2 linked regions of the Diceros bicornis minor genome follow. The protein of the gene in region 2 purifies or fractionates together with the protein of the main gene of each other region. This does not show direct contact. Links are inferred from orthologs where the notes say so. Each region holds a gene or a part of one and is shown on either strand. Other genes may lie near its edges.

Region 1 (10,995 bases), on a different chromosome or scaffold from region 2:
TGGGAAATGACATTGGTGGGATTGGTTTCATACAGTCACAGCTTATTGCAAGTGACCCAGCAACCTCTTTCTTCAGAGAAGGAGGGATGGAGGAGGCAAAATGCACAAGAGAAGATGACACCACACAACCTCAGCAGCCGGCACGTACAGGAAAGGAGGCTTCTAAAGTGTTGTAATCCCAGAACCAAATCCAAAGTAGAACTGACAAGTGTGCCCTTCCTTTAATGAATGAGTCAAGTTCCTCATCTATATAACTGGGTTAGTAATACCAGGCTTCATAGAACTAGTGAAGGCTGAATGATAAGGCTTTGAATGAAAATACTTTATAAAGTGTAAAATCCCATAAAAATGTCAGTTAATACTCAAGTGAGAGTGATCTAGCCCAGTGAATTCTTCCACCTTTGAGCTTCCTAAGCCCCAGGGGCTCAGCACCATCTGCACTGTTGCCCATGAAAGGCAAAGTCAACACACAGATCATCTGAGGCTGAGTTAGAGGAAAATCAAAAGCAGAGTACTTCTCAGCATCAGGAAAGTAAACTGGCAGAACTGAAAAGCCAGAGGTCCAGGATAGCCCTAATTTAAAATGGGAGCCAGTGGAAAAGTATCAGTGGAAAAATGGGATTTGATAAATAAAATACAACTTTATAGCCAACTTGACTGAACTCTTTCTTAAAAGTTTTTATATATCAATAATACAAATATTTGCCATTATGTTTAAATATTTATTGGTTGGCACTGGTAACACACAGCCTATCACCTTGCTTTTGGTTACAAAGAAAAGCAAATGGGAAGGAAGATCAGCATGGGCCTGTTATCACCACTAGAAAAGTGACGAGCACACCCTTCTCATGGATCAGGGTCAAGAAAGTCATCTTTGCACAATCAATAGCCACATATTTTTATTTATTTGTACCCTGGCTCATTCTAAAAAAAAAAAAAAAAAAAAAATTTAAATGGTGAATGGCCATTAATACTAAAAAAAATTAGCTTCATTTATTTGTATTATGTTTATTTATATACAATTTGTTCCACAAAGTATTTAGGAAATTGGATTTGATTTCTTAGTAAATTTTGCCATACTCTTACTAAAAGTCTTGTTATATATTTTATATACTAACGATAAATACAAACTGCACAGCACAATGCCTGGAACCACAGTAAGCAATCTGTAAAATGCAGTTATTACTCCCATTAGGCTATTAGGCTATGAGCTCTCTGAGGCAATGGACTGTCTTATTCTGTCTTGTTCAGCACTCCATCTCAAGAAACCCAGCCCGCTACCTGGTCCAGAGGTGGTATTCAATAAATACTGTTGAACAATTGAATACGATTTAAGAGTAATTCTCAACTCTCACCTATTTTATGGTTACCAGTGCCCCAAATCCTCTAATCAACAGCAAGGGTCTGGAAAAACCATACCCCAAAGGAAAGGCATTTAAGTTCCTGTTTATGTTTCCTTAAACTCACCACAAAGATGCCCCCCTTCTGTCCCAAAACCACAAAATCAATGCTTTGCAACAACACATTCTTTAACAATTCTGCTTCATTTCCCCTACAGACAATGCACAAAGTTCCTTAAAACTGCAAGACTTAGTTTAGTTCCCTTTACCCCTTAAAAAGGAAAGGCTTATTTGTAAAACCCTATCAATTCTCAAATTTCTAGTCTGATTCCTTGATCTTTGATTCAGTTGGTTATCACACAAGCTGCTACTTGCTTTTTTACTGTATACTTGGTACAAATTAAAATAATGAAAATAGGTTTAATATAAAAAAAATTTTTAAGTTACACATCAACATGTATCACACTTCAGGGCAAATTAGGAAACTGACATATTTCAGTGATGTTGCATTCCTTAAAATACTTTCAGATTCTTTTTTGGAACAGACTTTAGATCCAGTTCTACAAGTCATACAAGAAATTCTGTGTCACTGCTTTATAGTCACAACTCCTATCTGACATAAAACAGTATCACCAACCTGATTGCCTAATCTTTTTCACCAGACTTGAGCCCAAATTCTCTAAATTATTTGGATTCAATTTGATTTTGTTATTCCCTACAACAAAACTGCTCTCAAAGGATGAAGACAGTGAATAATAACACAGGCTCCAAAACGGATTCTAAGAAAAGTTCCAAAACAATGTTTTCTGCCACACCTGAAAAGTTGCTAATTGAAAGAACAACTTCAAATAACTACTCTGAATGGGATAACACTTACTTGTGTTTTCAATCCAAAATCAGTTACATTTGTTTACAGTCCATTGTCACAAAGTATCACAAAGTATCAGTTGTATCCTCCTCGCCAACATGCTATAGGTTACACTTTAAATCCCCTTAGCAGAAATACTACTAAGAAACAAACAAACAAACTCTGCCTCCCTGGCAAGACACACAGGAAACTTAACAAGTGGTTGTCTCTGAGGAAAGGAATAGCATGGTTGGAGAGCAGGAAAAGAAAAGACACTTTTCACTGAATATTCTTTTATACCTTTTGCATTTTATACAATGTGAATGTATCATCTATTTTTAAAAACCTGTTTAAGAAAATTACTTCCAAGGGTCAGATATTGCTGGCTTCTATAAGCTAGAAAAGAATAGTATAAAGAAATATGGAGTTCATTTTAAAGGCACTTCACTGTAAATCAGGACCTCCAGTTCCAGTGCAGAACTCTTCACACCAACAGTTAGGAAACCTTGCAAGCAGTTCTTGCAACCTTGCAAGCAAGTACACTAAACTCCTCATAGTTGAGCTATTCTGCCGTATCACTCCATTAAAATTTAAATTTCATTGGAAAGAAAAACTTGGTACTACAGATATTAATATGTCAATTCAAGAATGAAAACTGGAGGCAAACTAATAAGCTATTAAAGGAGCAATGATCCAAATATATCTCTGAAAATTAGCAAATCAATAACATACATATATATATAAAAATGCTGCAAATTCCCTTAAAATGCAAACTGCCATACTATAAAAATGGGAAAAAGATATCAAGCAGGGTACCATCAACAACATAACTCAAGCAGCTTGAACTAGAAAATGCAATATGATCTGTTGCTGGACGCAATTGCACAATCTCAATTACCCAGAAGATTCTACCAAACAGGAAATTCGTGATATGACTTTAAGAAACACAGGAATTCCATTTAAAGATTAACACGTCCAAAAGCCTGGAATTTGTTGTGAAACAAAAAGTAATTTTATAGGCCCTTTTTCAAACGACGCACGTACACGAATTACACGAATTAGTTTCAAAGCTCTCAAATTATAGTAAATCTAAAATACAGTGCATAAAACCTTGAAAGTCAGAGAAGTTAGTGAAATATTTCAGGTCGGGAAATCTTATGGTATCAATTTATTTTAAAACCCACAGTGTGAATTACAGGTGAAAAATGCCTCTTCCTTCCTTTCCTATATATTCTATATCCTTATTAAAACCATCGCGTACTCAGGCTATAAAGATAGATAAGTTCCCTGCAAACTCTCTAAGGGAGTCTAAAAACACAGTACTCACAAGAATTATCGCAATTAAAAAATATTTACAATACCTCCCAGCATTGTTAACAACTTTTTGATCTTGAGAGCGTCCAACGGATCTGAATCTCACTTGCTCAAATGAGAAAACTGTTGTGTCCAACAATACTGAAATGAGCGGTGGTCTGTGACTAATCAGCGAGGCCGCCAGTTTCTCGAGCGCAGCGTTCCTGCAGGCACCGCCACCCACCCCCCCTCTGCGGAAAGGAAATACGCTTTCAACCGAATCGGAAACACACCACTCAAGCTGGCACCGCGCTCCCCGAGATAAAGTCGGTATTTTAAGCTCTCTGGGTCGCTGCGAATTCAAAAAGAACGCTTCTGAAAATGGGATTTCGACAGAGGTCTGCAAAAGGGCCCGGAGAGAACGCCCTTCGTCGTCATTTTCGTTGGGATGACCGCAGTCTCCCGGTCGGGCTTTGCCCTTCTGCGTCTCCCGGCAGCTCCCGGGCTTGTCTGCGCAGAGGGCGGGCTCCGGCACCCGGAGTCCTCCGGGAGGGTCCTTGTGCTCGGCGCCAGCAGACACACCCCGCAGAGAGGCCCCCGCCGGCGCCTGTCCCCGGAGCAGCAACCCCCCAAGAGGGGAACGCACAGGGTGCGAGCCAGGGCCGAGCTCCAGCACCACCACCCACCGCGGATCCGCGTCCTGCACACGGTCGACCACCTACCCGGGCGTGCAGGGTGAGGGGTGCAAGGCGTACAGGGCGTGCAGGACAAGGGTCGAAGGGGTATCGATGGCCTCCCCCAAGGAAAATTCCTGCCGCTTGGTGCATCGCCGAGCCGTGGGAGCAGGCCTGGCTCTCGGACATGAGGGGCCACCCAGCCCACCGCGGCCCCAGCCCGGTGACACTCACCACACGGAGCCATAAGCGCCGGAGCCCACCGGGGACAGGTTCTGGTAACGCTCGGGCACCTCCCAAATTGTCTTGTTCAGCTCCTGCCGGTAGAACGTGGGCCTCTCCTGAGACATCTTCCAGCGGCGGCCGCGGGGCGAGGAGGTGGCCCAGCGGGGACCCGCCTGCGCCCGCACCCGCTCCCGGCCCTCGTCGCCCGCCCGGCCGGGCGGGGACCCCGCGCCGGCCGCACGCGCAGGTGCGGCTGCTGCGACCCCGCAGACTCCCGCGCGCGCGGCCGCTGTCACCGCAGCGCCTGGACGCGCCTCAGCCACAGGAGCGAGTCCTGCTAAGGGCAGAGGCGCGCTCCGGGGCTCAAGGCTGCGCCCGCCACGCTCTCCCTGCACCCTCTCCCCGACCAGGCCGACTCTGGCTGCGCCGCAGGACTACCGCTCCAGCTGCAGCGCCCGGGGAGGTTCCAGTGGTCGCCGTTCCAAAGCCAGCGAACAGGAGCCTCCCGCCGTACTCTCGCGAGAACAGCTCCCGGGACTCTCCGCGAGCCGAGATTTTACCCAATATGGAACCTGCCCATGGGAGGGGGTTGATGAGGGGAGAGGACGGGAGGAGCAGTTCTCGCGAGAAGAGAGCAACAGCTGGCAACCAGAGGGAGGAACTCCCAGAGACTGTTCTTAAAGGCGCGAAGGCGGACCCGGGAAAGAGGGGTGCCCCAGGCAACACATGCCGCGTGCGCCGCACAGTGGTCGGTGGGGCAAATGCCTGGCCCCGTGGTGGAAAGCGACAGTGACAAATAGGGTGTCGGGAAAAGAGCCAAACGATCTTTGAACTTTGGGTAGCCACCAGCAGCCGAGCGACTGCTCAGCGGAACCCTCAATTTCCAAGAAGTACTTGCACATAAAAGAGAAAGATTTTCGGCCCGAAAGCCGTTGCATTCCATCCGCTCAAGGACATATGGCTTAGTTCGAAGTTCTCACAAAAATCTGTCCCCAAAGCAAATATTAGCTCTGCATTAAGGCTGAGGTTTTCCACCCAAACTCTCCTAGTAGTTCTCAAGCTTTTATGTGCAGAAGAATCACCTTGGGGGTTTAAAAATGCAGATTCCCAGGACCCACAGGGAATCTAATTGGATAGGTCCCTGACGGGTACCAAGAATGAGCATTTTTACAATAGGCTCCAGGTAATTCTGATTCAGGAAAGTCTCTGGCATCTCCCTTTGAGAAGCGTTTTTAAAACCATTACCCTGAGGGTTTGAAACTGACTTCTGCCCTGAAGAGCTTCCAGTGACGAGGATTTTAAGCATTTGATTCATGCCTCTCAGAGGAAGAAGAACTGGGCAGAGAGTGGTCTTCTGGCAGTGTCACATTAGGCAAGTCAATTGACCTTTCTTAGACCTCACTTCCAGTTGATGCAAAAGAGAATTCCTGCCTTACACTCCCACCTAATAGGGTCATTTGTAAAGCTCAACAAGATAATAAATGTGAATGGGCAAGGTGTTATAACCCCATACCTACCCACACTGTTACCAACCTATTCCTATGCTGAAGCTTGTTGCAATAAGCAGAAGAATTGGACCCTATCTTAGTCTCTTAGTTATTTCCCTTAGAAATAACTAAGTCCAAGCCAGGACACTCCTTATCACTTCCCATGGTCATTCTCTTTTGTGTTATACATTCCTTGGAGTGCTTAGACTTTGCCTATCTTGTCCCAGCATCTAGCACAGTGTCTAGAACATAAAAGGTGTTCCATAAATATTTGCTGAACAAATTATGAACAATGACCATGATCTCAATTTAGGAGGTGATGCAGGATCCTCAGTTCTCCTCAAGGAAAAAATAAATAAAACTCCAAACCAGGGTCATAGGCGATTCGTGGAAAGCTTTTTTTTTTGGATTCCATGTGACTTACCCTGATTCTCATGCCTATGAAAACACGCTGCTTGAAAATGTTCCAAGCCAGCCTGCATGTTAGGGAGCTTTCTAAGAAGTAGTAGAAGCTGAAGGAGGAAGTGACAGCAAAAATGTGGCTGTAAAGACATGACGGGTGGGAGTGGGAATCAAGGTGTTGAGTGGATGGATGCAAGAGGGGAAACTTGCATGCAGAATCCTAAGAAATCCAGATATTTATCCAACAAGTTGGGATGATGAGGTGAGAGTGACCGAAAGGGTAAAGATGAAGTGAGCAGTACCTTCACTCACTCATTCGACAACTGTGTATTGAATGCCTACTAGGTACAGGCACTTCTGATGGAAAGGTGATTAAAAAACAGACACAGGAGCCGGCCCTCTGGCTTAGCGGTTAAGTGCACGCGGTCCGATGCTGGCGGCCCCGGCCGGAACCCGGGCGCGCACCGACGCACGGCTTCTCCAGCCACCCTGAGGCCGGGTCCCACATACAGCAACAAGAAGGATGTGCAGCTATGACATACAACTATCTACTGCGGCTTTGGGGGATACATAAATAAATAAATAAATAAAAATTTTTTTTAAATAAAAATAAAAAACAGACACAGTTGCTGTCTACATGGAGCTTACACTTAGCAGGGCAATCATTCAATCATTCAACACATTTATTGAGCACTTACTTATATCTACCACATTGTATTAGGCACTGGTGATACTGCAGTTAATGAAATAGATGAAAATACCTGCCCTTACGGAGTGAGACAGTTTACAAAAAGGAATAGGTAAGGTGAGTGATATGTTACTATTAATACAGTAATCAAGCAAGAGTAAAACTGCAACTGGGCAGGAATACAAGGGTAGTGCGAGACAGTGACAGGGCCTGAGCTTCGGGAGGAGGAGGTTGGAGGAGCCGGTGGAGGAGAGCGAGAGACCTGGGCAGGAGAGTGTCCTTCAGCGAGGGAAGCCAGGCTTGTGGGGCTAGGGTTGGAGACCTGGTGACCCTCTGGCTTCCGGTTTCCTCTTGCATCTTCTAACCTGACAGGTCGTCAGGAGATTTAAGTGAATTACTGTATGCATCCAGTAGGCCCTCAATCAAGAGTAGTCAAACCTCGAGGCAAGTGGAGGCCCGGGTGGCACAGGCAAGGGGCTCCCACGGTCCAGGTACCGGAGGGCAGTACCCCTCTCGCCGCTCCCCACCCCAGCTGCCCATGCTCCTCTTCTTCCGCCAGACTATTGTCCTCTCCCCTTGCTCCCCACACCCCCCCGCCCCCCAACGCCCCCGGGTTCGGCCGCAACGGCTCGGGAACCGCCGGCGTCCGCCTGGAGCGCCGCCAGCCTGCCGGAGCCGCGTCTGACCCCAGCGCCCGCACTCCCGCCCCAGCCGAGGAGCCAGGTGAGCCGCTGCCGGGGACGCCCGGGTGCCCGGGGCTGCAGGTTGTGGGCGTCCGGGTGCGAGGGACCAGCCCCTCGTTACAGCGGGCGGGGCTGCGTCCGTCACCGGCAGGGCCAGGCGCCTCGCGGGCGCTCAGTCAATATTTGTGGAATGAATGAATGACGGTCGTCCCTGGGAGCTTATCTCCCAGAGGTATTGTCTCTACTTTTGAAAGGCTGCATGGAATGGCAATAACAAGAGACAGTGCGTGCCTTTTGCAAGCTGAATTCTTTCCAACTCGTTCGTCTGAGTTGTCAGAAGCCCCAGAACTGATCTGCTGCCCAAGCGTCACCGGACCACCCCGCCCATCTCCTCCTGAGGCCTGACAGCCCAGACGCGCCTCGTACTTTCGGACTTCACTGCTCTTGTTCATTTTGTTCCTTCTGACTGAGGCCCCACTCCCACCCCACTGAGCCCCTTTCTCTTATCAAGGCCTATTTATGCGTCAGTGTGCCCCTGGGAAGTCTTCTCCAACATCCCCACCCCAAAAGTGAGTTTCTCTCCAACACACCCCACTGTTAATACTTCTCACCACGTGGCATCAAAGGTAGTTGTTTATGTGTCCGATGGTCAGCCGTCTGATGGTCAGCTGTCCAATGGTCAGCTCCTTGAGGGCTGCCATCTTTATTATTCATCCCCAGCCACTAGACAGAGTGACTTAAGGGTACTAAACGCAGTGCTCTTTGCTTGTGCCTTTTGTGTATTCCATGTACATTCCCCACAAAAACGTAGGTAGTAATGGGCAAAGGGCTGTTGTTTCTGGTGGAATTACAAATGCTTATTTTGAAATTTTGCAAGTGAATTTTACCGTCCCACAATTATAGAGAACATATGAAAGATGACGATATCAGGGGAGAGATATTCTTGCAACTAAACTAAGGTTCAGGATTTCACATCTATTGAATCAATAGTCAGAAAATTGGGTTGCATTTAAATTTTTTATTCTTGGCTTTTAAAATACTTTCAACACATTATGTAAATACATCAATGGATGGCTGGATAGATAGGGGTAGTATGGGAGATGAATGAGCTAGGTCAAAAGTGCCTTTATTTTAACAGTGCCCCCAAATTTAGCAATGAAAGACTGACTAGATGAAGATAATTGGCTACATTTCCAGTGGTCCTCATACTTTATTATGTATCAGAATCACCTGGAGGGCTTCTTAAACCAGACTACTGACCCATCCTGAGTTTCTAGTTAATTCTTACTAGGTGGGGCCTGACAATGTGCATTTCAACAAGTTCCCAGATGATGTGGATGCTATTTGTGTGAGGAAGAAGTATGGGCTACAGAGATTAAACTAATTTCTATTAGCTAGTAGTGAATCTAGAGGCCCAAAATTATGTCACATTTGTAGAATAAGAAAATGAAACCTTAAGTAGTTCAGATCCATGGTCCACCCACCTAAATATTTTGTCTGAAGCATCAGGGCAGGAAGCAGGAAGCATCAGGGAATTGTTTTCTAAGTGGACATTTATCTTGAAGATTATAGGTGGAACGTAGCTTACTGTTGATAACACTGCATGTGGAGGCCCCTGACACTGATGTCTTCAGGAGCCAGTCACAGAGACTCCCTCTTGTGTTGTCTCAGCTGAAAGAGCATTATCAGTGTAGCTGAGATCACTTTTTTCTGAAATGCCTCCCCTTCTCCACACCAAAGTGCCCCTGCTACTTGTCAGTAGGAGCTTCTGGTCTTCATACCTTGTCAGGAAGAGTTCTGCTGGTGCATGAAAACGAACCACTAGGGTTTCTATGAAATGAAGCAAGACAAATGGAGCTGGAGAAACTCCAGAGATGACTACTAACAAAACCAATAAGGAAATCCTGTGTTTCCCTTTGCTGCCTTTAGCCAGTCATGTGATGAGGCCTTTAAAGACAGCTTTCCACCTGCCCCTTCTAGCCCTGCTCACTGTGGTGCCACGAGTTACAACTTGATTACCTCTCCCCTAGACTACCATAATAGTAATGGTCTCCAATTGGTCTTTTTTGCCTCAGTCTCTCCTAGCTCCACTCTCCAATAGAACTTTCTGTGATGATGGAAATGTTTTACACCTGCGCTGTCCAGTACGGTAGCCCTTTGGCTCTTGAGCACTTGAAATGTAGCTAGGGCGACTGAGGAACTGAATTTTTTATTTTAATTAAGTTAAATTTAAATAGCCACTGGTAGCCAGTGGCTACTGTACTGGATAGCACAGCTCTAGACCATACCACTGACATGATTAATCTTCCCAAAGCATGTCTCTGTGCATATTACTACTCCTGCTCAAACAGTTAAAAAGTCCAGGTCCAACCCAGCATTCAAGACCTTCCAGGAATAGGCCTCAACCTACTTTTTTGGGCTTGACACTGACTTTACTCAGATATATTGTATTGCTTGCCTTCTATTATCTCTGTAATTTTATCCTACTCGTGAAATACTTTGTTCTCCTCCCTGATCCCAGTTTAGACAGAGTGAAACTCAAGTTATATCTCCCCTGGGAGGCCTTCCCTGTCCCTTTAGGTTGGGATTATTATTCCCACTCTGTAGGAGATCACATGGGATTTGAACGTGGCATCTATTTTGGAATCAGAAAGACTGGGTTGAGATTCTGGCTCTGCTATTTAATTGTTGTATGACTCTGAGGAACTCACTAAATGCATTAGTAAAATGAGTATAATCATTATCAGGAAAATAGCACCTATCTCATGAAATGATGTGTGTGGAGAACCTGGCATATGGCTGGGCAGCAATAAATGTTAATTCCTGTCTTTCCCACCTCCAAACTCTTACAGCAGTATATTTTGAGGTTTTTTTTTTTTGTACCAAAGTGTGGAGTCTTTGTTCTTTTATATCCCCAGAGCACCTAGCATTCAGCAAATATTTGTGGAACACTAACTTAACTGACCACAGGTGAGATAGCATTCTTCAGTCAGAAACAAATGAAGGCCGAGAATGCATATGGTAGAAATTTATAAAACTGTGAAAATAAAAGCAGACAAACTTACCAAATCCTATTCTAGTAGATGGGGGCCACCTCTTGAAACATAAACGATGTAGAATGAAGACAATAAAATGAAATACTACTTTCCTTAACTGAACTAATGGGATATAATACCTCCAAAGGGTACTACAACAAAAATTATAAATACTTTAGCTTTAAAAGAAAGTAAGAGGGCCAGCCCTGGTAGCCTAATGGTTAAGTTCAGTGCACATTGCTTTGGCAGCCCGAGTTCAGTTCCCAGGTGCAGACCTATGCTACCTGTCTGTCCATGGCCATGCTGTGGCGGTGGCTCACG
Region 2 (11,371 bases):
CATTCCCCATGGTGTCCCTGGCAAGTGGCTTTTCACCTCTGCCCGCTGTCCTGCCCACTTTGAGCCACTAGAGAGCGCTGCTTTACATCTATTTGGGGCTGTTGGATGTTGGAGGTGGGTGAAGCTGCTTCCCAGTTCCTACAGCTTGCTGTTAAACCATCTCCACAAAAAGGGGCTGCTTGGGGTCCAGTTAAGGCCAAAGAGGCAGGAAGGGGGACAGCTGAGAGCTCCTGTGGGTGCTGGTACCTGCCACGCAGAGCTCGGGAGCGATTAGCCCTCGAGAGGCTGGCGATAGGGTTCAACAATGGCTCCTTCCTCCTCCTTTATAGGATGGGCAGGCTGGGGTAAGGAGACTGGGTGGTCTCTCCTTTTCGGCGTTGTTTAACGTTTGCTCTGTTCTCTCGGTCCCCCATTCCTTGCCCCAGCCGGGGCTGGGTCACTCACCCGGATGTAGTTGGCGTTGATGTAGTCTCCGTCCTCCTGGCTCTGTGCCCGGCCTAGACAGACACGGCTCTGGGGATCTAGGAGATAAAAATCAGTGGAAATCAGAGGCCAAAAGGTGACCATTGCGACTCCGACAGGGCCAGGAGGAGCAGGGCTTCTGCGCTTGTCATAGCCCCTGAGGTACAGCCAGTTGCCCGGTACCCAACGGGTGGTTTCACAGACGATAGGAGCCACAGAATGCTTTTGAGCAGTAGAGTGGCATGATCTAAGTGGCGTGACTTGGGAAGGTAAAGTGGGGGTGCTGTCTAGGGTGGACCAGCGAGGAACGGGACGGAGAAGCAGAGACCTAACGGGATGTTACGGCAACGGTCCAGCCTTGAGACCAGTAAGGGTGGAGAATAGGATTGTGCCCATAGGAATGGAGAAAGAGATGTTGTGGAGGGAGAAGTTTTTCTGACGGTGAATGCGGGATTCAGATGATTTGTCTAAAGTCACAGCGGAGAAGTAGCCCTAGAGCCCGAGTTTCCCCTCACCACCTCCCGCTGCGGGGGAGGGCTTCCCCAGACCCAGTCCAAGCAGGGTGAAGAAGCTGGCTTGTGAGGAGAAGAGAGGAGAGGGGACTCGCTCTCCCAGCCGGCTGGCTCTGGACAGAGGTACCCAGGGTGCCGGGGAGCCTCAGGCACAGGACCTCCCCCACTCTGGCTTCAAGCTGGTTCCAGTTAGGCCAAGAGCAAGGCTGCTCCCTCTGCCTCCACTTGGGTGAGTGCTGACAACCTTTGACCCTCGTGCAGGCAGAGGGCTGGGACCTGGGCACTGGAATGCGGCAGGAGCAGGGAGCCGAGGCCTCAGGCTGGAGGTGGGTGCCCAGGTGAGGCTGCTGTGCAGGGAGAGGAGGGGAGAGAAGGAGAGTCCCCAGGGCCCTCAGCCCGCCTCTGACCCACAGGAGGTGCTGCTCCCCAGGTCTGTCGAGCTTGCAGGGTCAACCCTTCCACTCTGTGATCCCATCTCCAGCCTGTCACTGCTCTCTTGCAATCCCTGCTCTGCCTCCATGGAGTTTCCCAAAGTCTTCTCTCAGGGAGCCATCCTGATGGTGCCTCTTCCTCTGCAAACCCTTGCTGGGCATTTGCCACAGGGAGGAAGAGGAGGAGGAAGGTTTGGTGCAACTAGCTGTGTGACCTCGGGCAACTTATGCAACTTCTCTGAGACTCAGTTGCCTTGTTTGTAAATTGGGGATAATCATACCATAATACCAACTTTGTGGGGTCATTGTGAGAAATGAGTTACCCTAAGGGACTCTGAGCAGTGCCTGGCCCACGGGAAGCATCTGAAATATGAGTGGCTGTCTTCTCACTGGGGTATGGTTATTGCCCCTCCCCCAGCCAGGGCGTGATTTTGGAATTTCTTTGTGGGAAGAAGACACTGAAGGTCAGGTGGCTCATCCCTGGTGGAGGCTGTGTGCCTTGCCTTCTGAACCTCTCCAGCCCTAGGGACAGCGCGGCCTCCCTGGGTCCCGGCCGCAGTGCTTACTTGGCAAGATGGTCTTGTATCTGTCCTTGGAGGCGTGGCCGGGAATATCCAGGTCTTCAGGGCTGACAAAGTTTGAGGGGATCTTCTGGCAGAGGAAACAGTGAACAGCTGACACCCCTCCCCAGCCTTGTCTCCCCTTCCCCTCTCATATAGCAGAGCTGGGCCAGCCATTCCCTCCTGGCGTTGTATGTAGGTCTGGATGGGGTGGAGGGCAGAAGAGGGAGCAGGAGCGGTCTCCTCCCATGAGCCTTGGGGTCCTCTTTCCTAAGGGCCCAAAGAGGAGACATGCCTGCCATGCCCAGGACAGAATAGTGCCAGCTGGCTGCCTCTGACTCAGAAGGCAGAGGGACCTGGGGTGGGGTCCCTGAGTTCTTACCAAGAATTCCTCTTCTAGCTGCTTGGGGCTGGGTGGCTGGTGCTGCAGGGCCCAGCGTGTGAGAGGGTGTCCGGCTGTGCGCAGAAAGTGTAGGGTCACCTCCCGGGGTGTGTTCACTGAGCAGATGGGCTCCACAGCCCCCAAGGACCGCACGTCCAGCATTAGAGCCACATTGGAGCCCCGCCTGCAAGCACAGGACCGGGGCCAGTGAGCACCGAGCACATGAGCTCCTCCTACAGTTGTTATTGTTATGGGTCCTGTCTGAGGAGGCTGCTCCTTGTCTTCCCCTTGACCCAGAGGCCCCGTGGAGTGAAGGATTCCGGCCCCTGTTGCCTGTCTTCCTCCTCAGCCAGAACAGGGCAGCCTGGAACCCAGCCGCTCCCTCCATCTGCCCACCTCTGCCCATTCCTGCCCCGGCCCTAAAGCCTAGACCCACATCCAGACTCAAGACAGCCCCGCTCTGGTGCTGCTCAGCCCAGCCTGGTGGATGTGAGAATTCATGCCCCAGACAAGTAAAGGGCATGTACATGATGTGCAAGCGAACACATCTGGTCTCCTTTCCAGGTTGGAGTCAACAGCCGAGGGCCCTCTGGACTCAGCTGTTGGAGCTGGAGGGGCAGACGGGGCTCAGGGCTGGGGAGGCCTCCCTCCCAAGACAGATCTCACCTCTCCTGCAGCCGCACATGCTTCTTGGCCGGTGCCTTGGTGGGCGGAGGCTGGGTCATGGCTGCCCCCAAAGACAAGGTCAGTGACTGTGCTCTGGAGCGCCCCCCACGGGCCTGGACCATGCTGGGGTGGGAGCTGGGCGCAGGGGAGGCTCACTCAGCCATGGGGTTCTCCTGGAAGACAGGGCCTTTCAGCTGCGGACCTCGGGCCTGCCTGACCGGCCAGAGGGAGGCTCCCAGGCCCAGCAGACCTTCTGCCCCCTGGCACCTATTTTCACTGGGAGTGTCTTCTGTTCCCCAGGCAGTTTTGTCGTTCTCACTGTGGGAAGGCCAAGGTCTCTTCAGGGGACCCAGGGGAGTGGGCAGTATGGGGTTAGAGCAAGGGGTTGAGATTGGGGGTGAAGATAGGAAGGAATCCAGAAGGAGGCAGAAAGGGGAGAAGACGTTGTCAGAGCCCAAAGTGTGTCCCTGGAGGACACACAGCCCATGTGCTCCGTGTCGACTGGAGAGAGGCTCACAGAAGCCACCTCTAAGTCTAGCCAGCGGGCCTTCTCTGAACGGGAAATTTGAGGCCTCTTGCAGCATTGGGACTGGGTGGGCCAGTTGGCCTGCGGGCTGCTGGCCCCTAGCAGGACCCGCTCCTACTCACTGGTCCTTCCACTCCCAGGTTCATCCTGGTGTCTGGGGTCTCTGTCCAGGGAGGGAGGCCGGGGGTGTTTCCTTCCTCCTCTGCCCATCCCCCCCATCTCCCGCCTCTGCAACCGTCACAGGAAATGGCCTCACCAAGGCCTTGAGCGACAGCGCATGGTGAGGCGACAGCTGGGGGCACGCGAGGGGGCATGGAGGTGGTAGGGCCACCTCCTCCTGGGGGACGGTCCCCATCTCCAGGGTCACAGCTTCCGAGGTGGAGGGGGCGTTAGTAGCTAAGCCCGCAGGGACGGAGGTGAAGGGACAGCGTGGGCCGTGCAGAGGCGGTGGTGGAGGGAGGCTCCCCCCAGCAGCAGGAGGGGCTCCTCAGCCTCTGCTCTCGCTGCAGGTCCCTGTGGCTCCCCACCCGCCCCCTCGGGGACGTCAGCCAGGTCAGCACCCCTTCCCCAGCACTGTGGCACCCAACGCACCCTCTCTCACACTCTCCTCCAAGATGCCCTCCCGTCCCCCTAGGGTTCACACCACCCCAGGGCCACGGGACTCCCCCCACCCCATTCAGGTACTTACTGAAGCAGCTGTGTCCCCCGGGCTGCTTCTTGCCAGCTGTCTGTCTGTCTGTCGGTCTGTCTTTGAGGGCTGAGGAGGCTTCAGGAAGCCAGCTTCCTCCCTCCGCCCCTCCTCGCTGCCACCCACGCACACCCCAGCTGCACGCTGCCCTCCTGCGCCTGCCGCCGCCGCCAGGGGTCGGGTGCCTCCTGCCTGTGCCCCTCGGGGGCGGGCTGGCCATGTCCCAGCATGTTTGTCATGGGCCCAGGCCTTCTCCCTGGGACTAGGTGAGGTGGACCACGCCGGTGCCCCAGCTGCCAAACTCTCCTCCTTCTGCAGTGTGCCTCGGGGTCTCTGTCACCTCCAGCCCCTGCCTGCATGCTGGGCAGAGCTCGGCAGACCCCCAGCTCCATGCTGTCCCACAGAGAGCCCAGGTTGCTCTTGTTCCAGCTGAACTGGGCCAGAGACTAGTTCCCACTTCTCTGCTTCTGCTCCGGAACCCTTGCCCTTCAAGCTGTGGGAATTCACGGTCAGCACGGCTGCATCTTCCCAGAGCAGAGGAGCTGCAGACTTGGGTCGGGGTGGGGAGGATGGGAGGTGGGAGTCCTAGCTCCACGTGGGAAGGCAAGGCCCAGGCCGGGCCGGAAGGGTCATCCGGGGCCCTGAACCCCACACCTGCTCAGCTGCCTCTGTCTGACATGGCCAGCCTGCCGGGCAGCAGGTGGCAGAGATGGCTTGTAGGAGAGTCTGGGGGGCTTCCCCTGGCCCCCAGCCCCTTCCATGCCTCCTGCCAGAACCCCGACCTCTACTCAGAAGACTTACAGATAGTGGACGGTCTCTGACCCTCACTCCAGGGCTCTCCCATGTCTTCTTCGCCCCCGGGCGCCTGGACGCCTGGGGCCTGGGGAGTGGCCCCACGTCCAAGACTCCACTGCCCACCCCCGCCTGGCCTCGGCAGCCCCTTTGCTGGCCAGCAGCCTGGCTGGTTCATGCTCACTGCTCATCTCCTTCCACCTTGTAACGTTCCTTCCTCCTGGCCCCCGACACGCACGATCCCCGTCCTCTCTCTTCCTCCCACTTCTCTGATTCAGCCGTCAGACAGTGACAGCAAAGAAGGAATGATGTACAATAGGCACACGGGTGGGCACGCAGGGGGTGGTGGGGAGGGGCTGGCCTTCCTCTGGCCTGTGGGGGAGGAGGGCTGAGAGGAAGAGCAGGATGATCTTCGGCGCTCCGGCAGTGGGTCTGGGACTGGCCCCTTTCCGAGCCCCGAGCTCCTGCTCCGCTGGGGGTTGGTGGCTTCCCTGAGAGGAGGCCGAGCAGAGCTGGGCAGTAGCTGGCTCCGGTGCCCGGGACAGGGAGGAGGGGCCAGGAGCCTGGGAATGCCTGCTGTACCTGTGGGAAGTGACCTGAGGCTGGCCTCGGCCTCAACCACCCCCAAACCCACCACTGTTTCCACTGGTGGATAGTGGGGGCCCTGGGGATCAAAGAGGGGGCAGGAGGGGATTGGAAAGAGGGCCACTCCCTCTGGGCCAAGCTGCTGATGGTTATCAAGTACAGGAAGCCAGGATACCACGGGGTGGGGTGGAGGAAGTGGGCAAAGCCCTTGCCCCACTGGCCCTCCAGGGCCCGCAGGTTTCCCTGGCCTGAGCCCGTTGGCTGAGAGCACACCCCTGCCCTCAGCAGGCCGGCCCGGCAGTGGGTTGAGGAGCTGGAAGCTGGGCTCTGGGGTGGAAAGCAAGGAAGCTGGAGGAGGGAGAAGGGGAAGGTGGTTGGGGATGGGGGTCTTGGTGGGTCATCAGGCAAGACTCTGAGGAGCTCTCAGTTCCCTTGGGTGTATCTGGGGAGGGGGAATAGCCATTCCTTGCCTCCTGCCCACTTCCTCTCCCCCCTCCGTTGAGAAACGCTGGACATCCGCAGAGGTGTGTGACCAGAGCGTGGGAGGGGTGAGGCACCGCCCACAAGCCTCAGGCAGGACAAGACACGTGTCGTCACCCTGCAGCAGCCCTCCCAGCCTGGCCGGGGGCCTGGGACACCCCTCTGCCCTCTCTGGGGTGGACTCGTTCTGTCCAGGCTGCTGGGGGTGGGGGTGGGGCGTGGGCGTCCCTGGAGTGACTCCTCTCCGGAAGCTTCCCTGTTCCCGGTGTGGAACTGCCCAGACAGCTCCCAAACCCTGCTCACTCCGATGCTGATCTGCCTTCCAGGGTTGGGACTTAGGTCCCAGCACCCTCAACTCCAGAGAAAGTACAGCAATAGTTGAAAGCTGAGAGGCCCTGGGGGCCGCGGGTCTGCACTGTAGCTTATTTGCTGTGTGACCTTGGGGAAGCGTCGGAACCTCCCTGAGGCTGTCTCCTCATCAGTCCTCCCTTCGCAGGGAGTGACATCAAGTGGTCTGAGGTCTGTGAAGTGCTTGCCCCCACTGGTGCTCAGGAGCCGTCAGCTGGGGGAGACACTGTGGGGGGCGGGGCAGCGTCTGAGTCTGTGAGTCTTATCTCTCTGCAGACCCCCCTCCTCACTGCCCACTCCCTCCAGCTTGCATTCAGGGAGGGCTGCCTGGGCCCACTGCCTCCCTCCCTCAGTCACTCCGCAGTCCCAGGGCTGCGAGCCACAACCCCACCGTCCGCAGTGTCAGAAGCCCCTCAGAGGGGCAGGTAGATCCGGAGTTCCTGGGGGTTCTTGTTCCCTTGCAGCACCAGGGAGAGGCCAGGCTGCTGCCAGCCCCCAGAGTCAAAGGCTGCCACCCTATAGAATCCCAGAGGGGGGATCTTGGGGACTGGGCCAGCTGCTGAGGCCAGGACTCCTGGGTCCTGTGCGCTCTACATGTTCTGCCCCCTCCCTGGCCCTCCTGGTTCCTCTCCGGAGATGCCCTAGGCTCCCAGGTCCTCCCACACCCCCCAAATCCTGGGCCAGCCCAGGCCAGCTTTGGCCCCAAAGTTACGGGCCCCAATTGGTCCCTGGCTGTGTGATGGAGACAGAGACACAGAGAGACGGGATCCAGAGGCCTCATCCAAGAGGAAGCAGGGGACACCGGAGGAGCCTCGCTGTGAGTGGGGCAGAGAAGTGCTGTTAGGAATGTGGGAGGGGGTCTGGGCCAGCGGGTGTGAGGTGTGAAGGAGCAGGGAGATCCCCTGGGCGTGTCCTGGGGCCCTGCCTCTGTGCAGCCATCCCAGGTGCCCAGCCCCCTCCGGACCCAGTTTCCACGACTCCTTCTGGGTGCCTGCTGGTGAGGGGAGTTTCCATCCCCTCCCCTCCCGGCTGAAGGACCAGCGACTCAGGCCAGCCCAACACCAGGGCAGTTCCAGGGAAGAGCCCCATTTTCTGCCAGGTGGCTGGGCCTCAGGTCCCTCGTAGGAGGACTTTAGGACAGCAGAGAGTCCCTCCCTCTCTCCCCAGTCCAGAGCTGAGGAAATGGACATCTGTTCCCCAACACAGCCCTTCCTTTCCAGGGCCCTCCTCTCCCCCTGGTCCCTCCGTGACGTCCCTGGACGCCCATGCGTGCACCTCCATCCAGACAGGTGCATGCACCCTCGCGGCTCACTGTGCACTCGCACACACACGCCCAGGCTGCTGGCATAACCGTGCACAGCCTCTCGCGGGCCTTGCTGCCTTCCCGCGGCCTGGTCAGCAGGCCCTGGGCCTCCCCTTCCGGGGACCTTCCCCAGGGAGTGGGAGGACAAATGGAAGACTGGGCTGTCTGCACCACCCCACCCCTCCCGCCTGGCTGTTACCTTCCCCAGCATGGGGGTCCCGAGAGATGACGGCAGGGGCCTAGGCTAGCTGCGGGGAGAGCCCAGGCTGGCGCACATTTGGGAGCAGGACGCCTGGACCTGTCCCCTGCCCTCATCTGCCTCTGGGCCGGCACTCTCCAGAAAGAATCAGTAGGTGCTCCGAGACCTCGGGAGGACCTGGGGTTCTCCAGGGAGAGGATGTGGGTTTGTCTGTGCCAGTGGTTGCTGGGGAGGAGACAGCCTCGTGGTAGGTATTTTGCTGAATGGAGAGCCTTGGGCTGGGGAGGCTGCCGCTTCTGTCAGGCCTCTCTGCACCCTCCAGAGCCTCCCTCCCATCCCCAAGGCAGCCCCAGGCTGGCTGGGGGGCCGGCAGGTGGGCCTTCTCTGGCCAGGTGCCTTCTCCAGGCTCTGTCCACAGGATGAGCTATAGCGTCTGTGTGGTTCCCAATGGGTCCCTCTTTGTGGGGATTCTTGGGAAGGGTCTGAGCCCCCCTTATCTGCAACCATGTCTTGCTGCATCTCTTCTCCTAGAATCTGAGTTAGGATGGTACCCCCCACCCCCCACGTTTGCCGCTGCTGATGGCGACGCTGCCAGAAAGAGCACAGTGAGGTGCCCCAAGGTGAGGCAGGATGGGGGGCCGCCCTTGGCCAGACTGGGACCTCTTCCCTCTCACATTGGTTTTCCTAATTGCTCTCCCCCCACTTCTTTTGAAAGAGCACATGCATGCACACACACACACACACACACACGCACACACGCACGGCCTGGAAAATCTGATGAGTCTGCAGGGCTGAGTTTCCAGGCCCCCATCCAGGGACCAGGTGGGTGGCTCTGAGGTTTGGGGCTGGGTGGAGCGGGGGCGTGGCAGGCGGGCCCTAGCTCTGGCCTGAGCTTGTGTCCATGCAGCCTGTCCTCCCCACAGGGCTGGCCTGAGAGCCTGGCTCCCACAGAAGCTGTCTCGGGGTTCAGAGTTTCTCCACCTGCCTGTTTTGCTGCAAATTTCCCCTCCCCACTTCCTGAGTTAGTGTCTCAGTCCCCGACTTCTTTCCCAGGGCCCAGAGCCTTCCTTCTTCCGCTCTCTTTCCCCTGCCCCCTGCCCCATGTCAGCTGTCTTGGGGGGCACATAGCGAGCAGCTGGAGGTGAGGAGCTGGCTCTAGGCTGGGGTGAAGCCTCAAGCTCCCCATCCTCTAGGCCAGGCCCCAGGTAGGCTTCCCCAGGCTTTGTGGTGCCTGCTGCCAGGTGGGAGCTAGGGGGACAGGGGGACAGGGTGGGCACCTCTGAGCGAGGAGAGGAGGTGGGAAGGCAAGCATAGGTCCTAGGGACGTGAGTGGCTCCTCAGAGCCTTCCGAGCTGAGAGGCCACCAATTTGGGGGTTCAGAGCAGGGTTTGCCACGTCTGCTCAGTGGAGCCGGAAGTCCCAGGTTCAAGTCCAGCTCATCTCCTCACACGTGTGGAGTCCTGGGCTGGGCTCTCCCTTCTCTGGGTATCAGCCTCCTCATCTGGGCGGTGAGGGCGTGGGACCAGATGGGTGCCAAGGGCCAAGTGGGCTCTGCCAGATCTACACTCACCAGATCAAGGCCTTTAGGGTGTGCGCCTGTGCCTCTGTCCACAAGAGCATGGGGTCACATGGATACACAGAAGGGGCCACACGCTCAGAGCTGCTCCGTCTGCCCAGCTCACAGCAACACACAGCACGCGAGGTCACCGAGTTCCCTGGCACCCTCTCCCTCAGGAACGCAAACACCCCATCCGTTGCCCACATGCTGGTAGAGTCCAATCACAGTCCCCTTCCGGGGTCCAGGAGTGCAGAGCCAGCTACCTCTGCCATGTGTGTCCACTTGCAAGGCCATTCCTCCTCTTGGTCTTTCTGAAGTGTGCAGGGCATCTTCCTCCCTGGAAAGCCAGCTGCTGGGAGTAAGGGGGAGGTGGGGGAGGCAGAGGTAGGGTAGGCTTGTCTGAGCCTGAGAGTTGAAATCCCTTTCCACATTCTGGGTCCTGAGCCAGTCCAGGCTCTCTTGCCGTGCAGAGCCTGGCCCAGGCTGGGTGGGGTGGGGGTCAGGGTCTGGGGTTCAGAGGTAGCTGCTTGCTCTCACCACCTGCCATCCGCCTAAAATCTGATTTTCCCTCCCTTGCCAGCCAGCCAGCCAGCGGGGCAAGGGGAAGGTTGGGGGGAGTGGCTCCTCCCCCGCTGCCTCCCAACTTTCCTTTGAAGGCATCAGGATGAGGCCCCCAGTCCTGTTCCCTGCCCTCCTCTGGCTCCAGGGCTTCTTGGCTAAGGTAAGGTGGGCATTGGGGACGGGAGGGTGGGGTCCCTGCTCTCCAGGGCCAATTCAGGCCTCCCACCTCTCTTGGGGCTGCACAGCTGGTCTGCATTAGGCAAGACAGAGGCTCCCCCTTCCCACCTGCCAGCAGGCAGGATGGCAGCAAGAACAGTCTGCTCCTGGCGCCGGCCGCCTCCCACCTCTTGGGTGTGCCCGCCCGCGACGCCCCTTTGGCCGTGTCTCGGGCAGTCTTGGACAACAGGACAGCTTCCCCCTGATCCCACCCTGTCCCCACTGGCTTTCATATGGGCCTGGACCCTAGAGGCCTCTGCCCATCTCCTCCCCTCTCCTTCCTATGGGAAGATGTGTGCCACTCCCTGGAAGGGAGCCCAGCCGGGGAGAGTGGAGGTAGGTGTCTTCAGAGGGGAGGGGGTCTGGGAGCGAGGGGGGTACAGGAGGGAGGAGGGGGTCTGGGAGGGAGGGTGAGGGGCTAGGAGGGAGGGAGGGAGGGGGTCTGGGAGGGAGGGGGGTGTCCAGGGGCAACTTCTCCGCGCAGACTCTGCCTCTGCTCTGCCCCTTTGCCTCACCTACTTCTTTAGGGCAGAAGAGGCATGGGGAGACTCTGAATGCTCCCCCTTTGCCCCAGGACCACCTCTGAAAATGAACGTCAGCAGAGAGGGGAGGCCAACCAGCCTCTTTTTGAGCTGGGCAGCCCCAGAGCCGGGCGGGTTCAGCCACGCCCTGTGCCTCACCTATCTGTTCCCCTCAGTTCTCCCGAAGGGCAGCTGCTCCAGGCCCACACCAACGTGTCCAGCTTTGAGTTCCAGGGCCTGGTGCCAGGAAGTTGCTACCAACTGGAAGTGACCGCCCTGCGACCCTGTGGGCAGAATGCCACTGTCACCCTTACTGTCTACACTGGTGTGTGGCCTGCAGGCGGGGGGCGGGGGGTGTGCAGGCATTGACTGGGGTCTGAGAAGGAGGTGGCTTCCCTGAAGGGCTAGTGAGGGTCAGGGGAGACAAGAGAGCAACATCTCCGAGAACCACGCGGGGTACGATGGCCCATTTAGAAGCAGAGGGTGTTGCCCCCCTGGCCCTGAAGTGGGTGCTTCTCTCCCTCCGATGCAGCCCCATTGTCTGTCTGTTACCTGCAGCTCCATAGCCCTGGGAGCCCATC

The links.
Region 1: the proteins of PTPN7 (region 2) and MAPK14 purify together in Homo sapiens (affinity purification with mass spectrometry; 3 studies listed by BioGRID and IntAct, with this or other methods). This does not show direct contact. The link is inferred for Diceros bicornis minor from reciprocal best matches to the Homo sapiens genes PTPN7 and MAPK14.

The regions. Positions count from the first base shown.
Region 1 is NC_080753.1:28,811,274-28,822,268, forward strand, and holds the start of MAPK14 (mitogen-activated protein kinase 14), read right to left. Parts: upstream 4,876-10,995; 5' UTR 4,505-4,875; coding exon 4,389-4,504; intron 1-4,388. UniProt on the Homo sapiens protein: Serine/threonine kinase which acts as an essential component of the MAP kinase signal transduction pathway.
Region 2 is NC_080777.1:30,264,199-30,275,569, forward strand, and holds the start of PTPN7 (tyrosine-protein phosphatase non-receptor type 7), read right to left. Parts: upstream 4,340-11,371; 5' UTR 4,228-4,339; intron 3,187-4,227; 5' UTR 3,136-3,186; coding exon 3,014-3,135; intron 2,532-3,013; coding exon 2,348-2,531; intron 2,057-2,347; coding exon 1,972-2,056; intron 522-1,971; coding exon 445-521; intron 1-444. UniProt on the Homo sapiens protein: Protein phosphatase that acts preferentially on tyrosine-phosphorylated MAPK1. Plays a role in the regulation of T and B-lymphocyte development and signal transduction.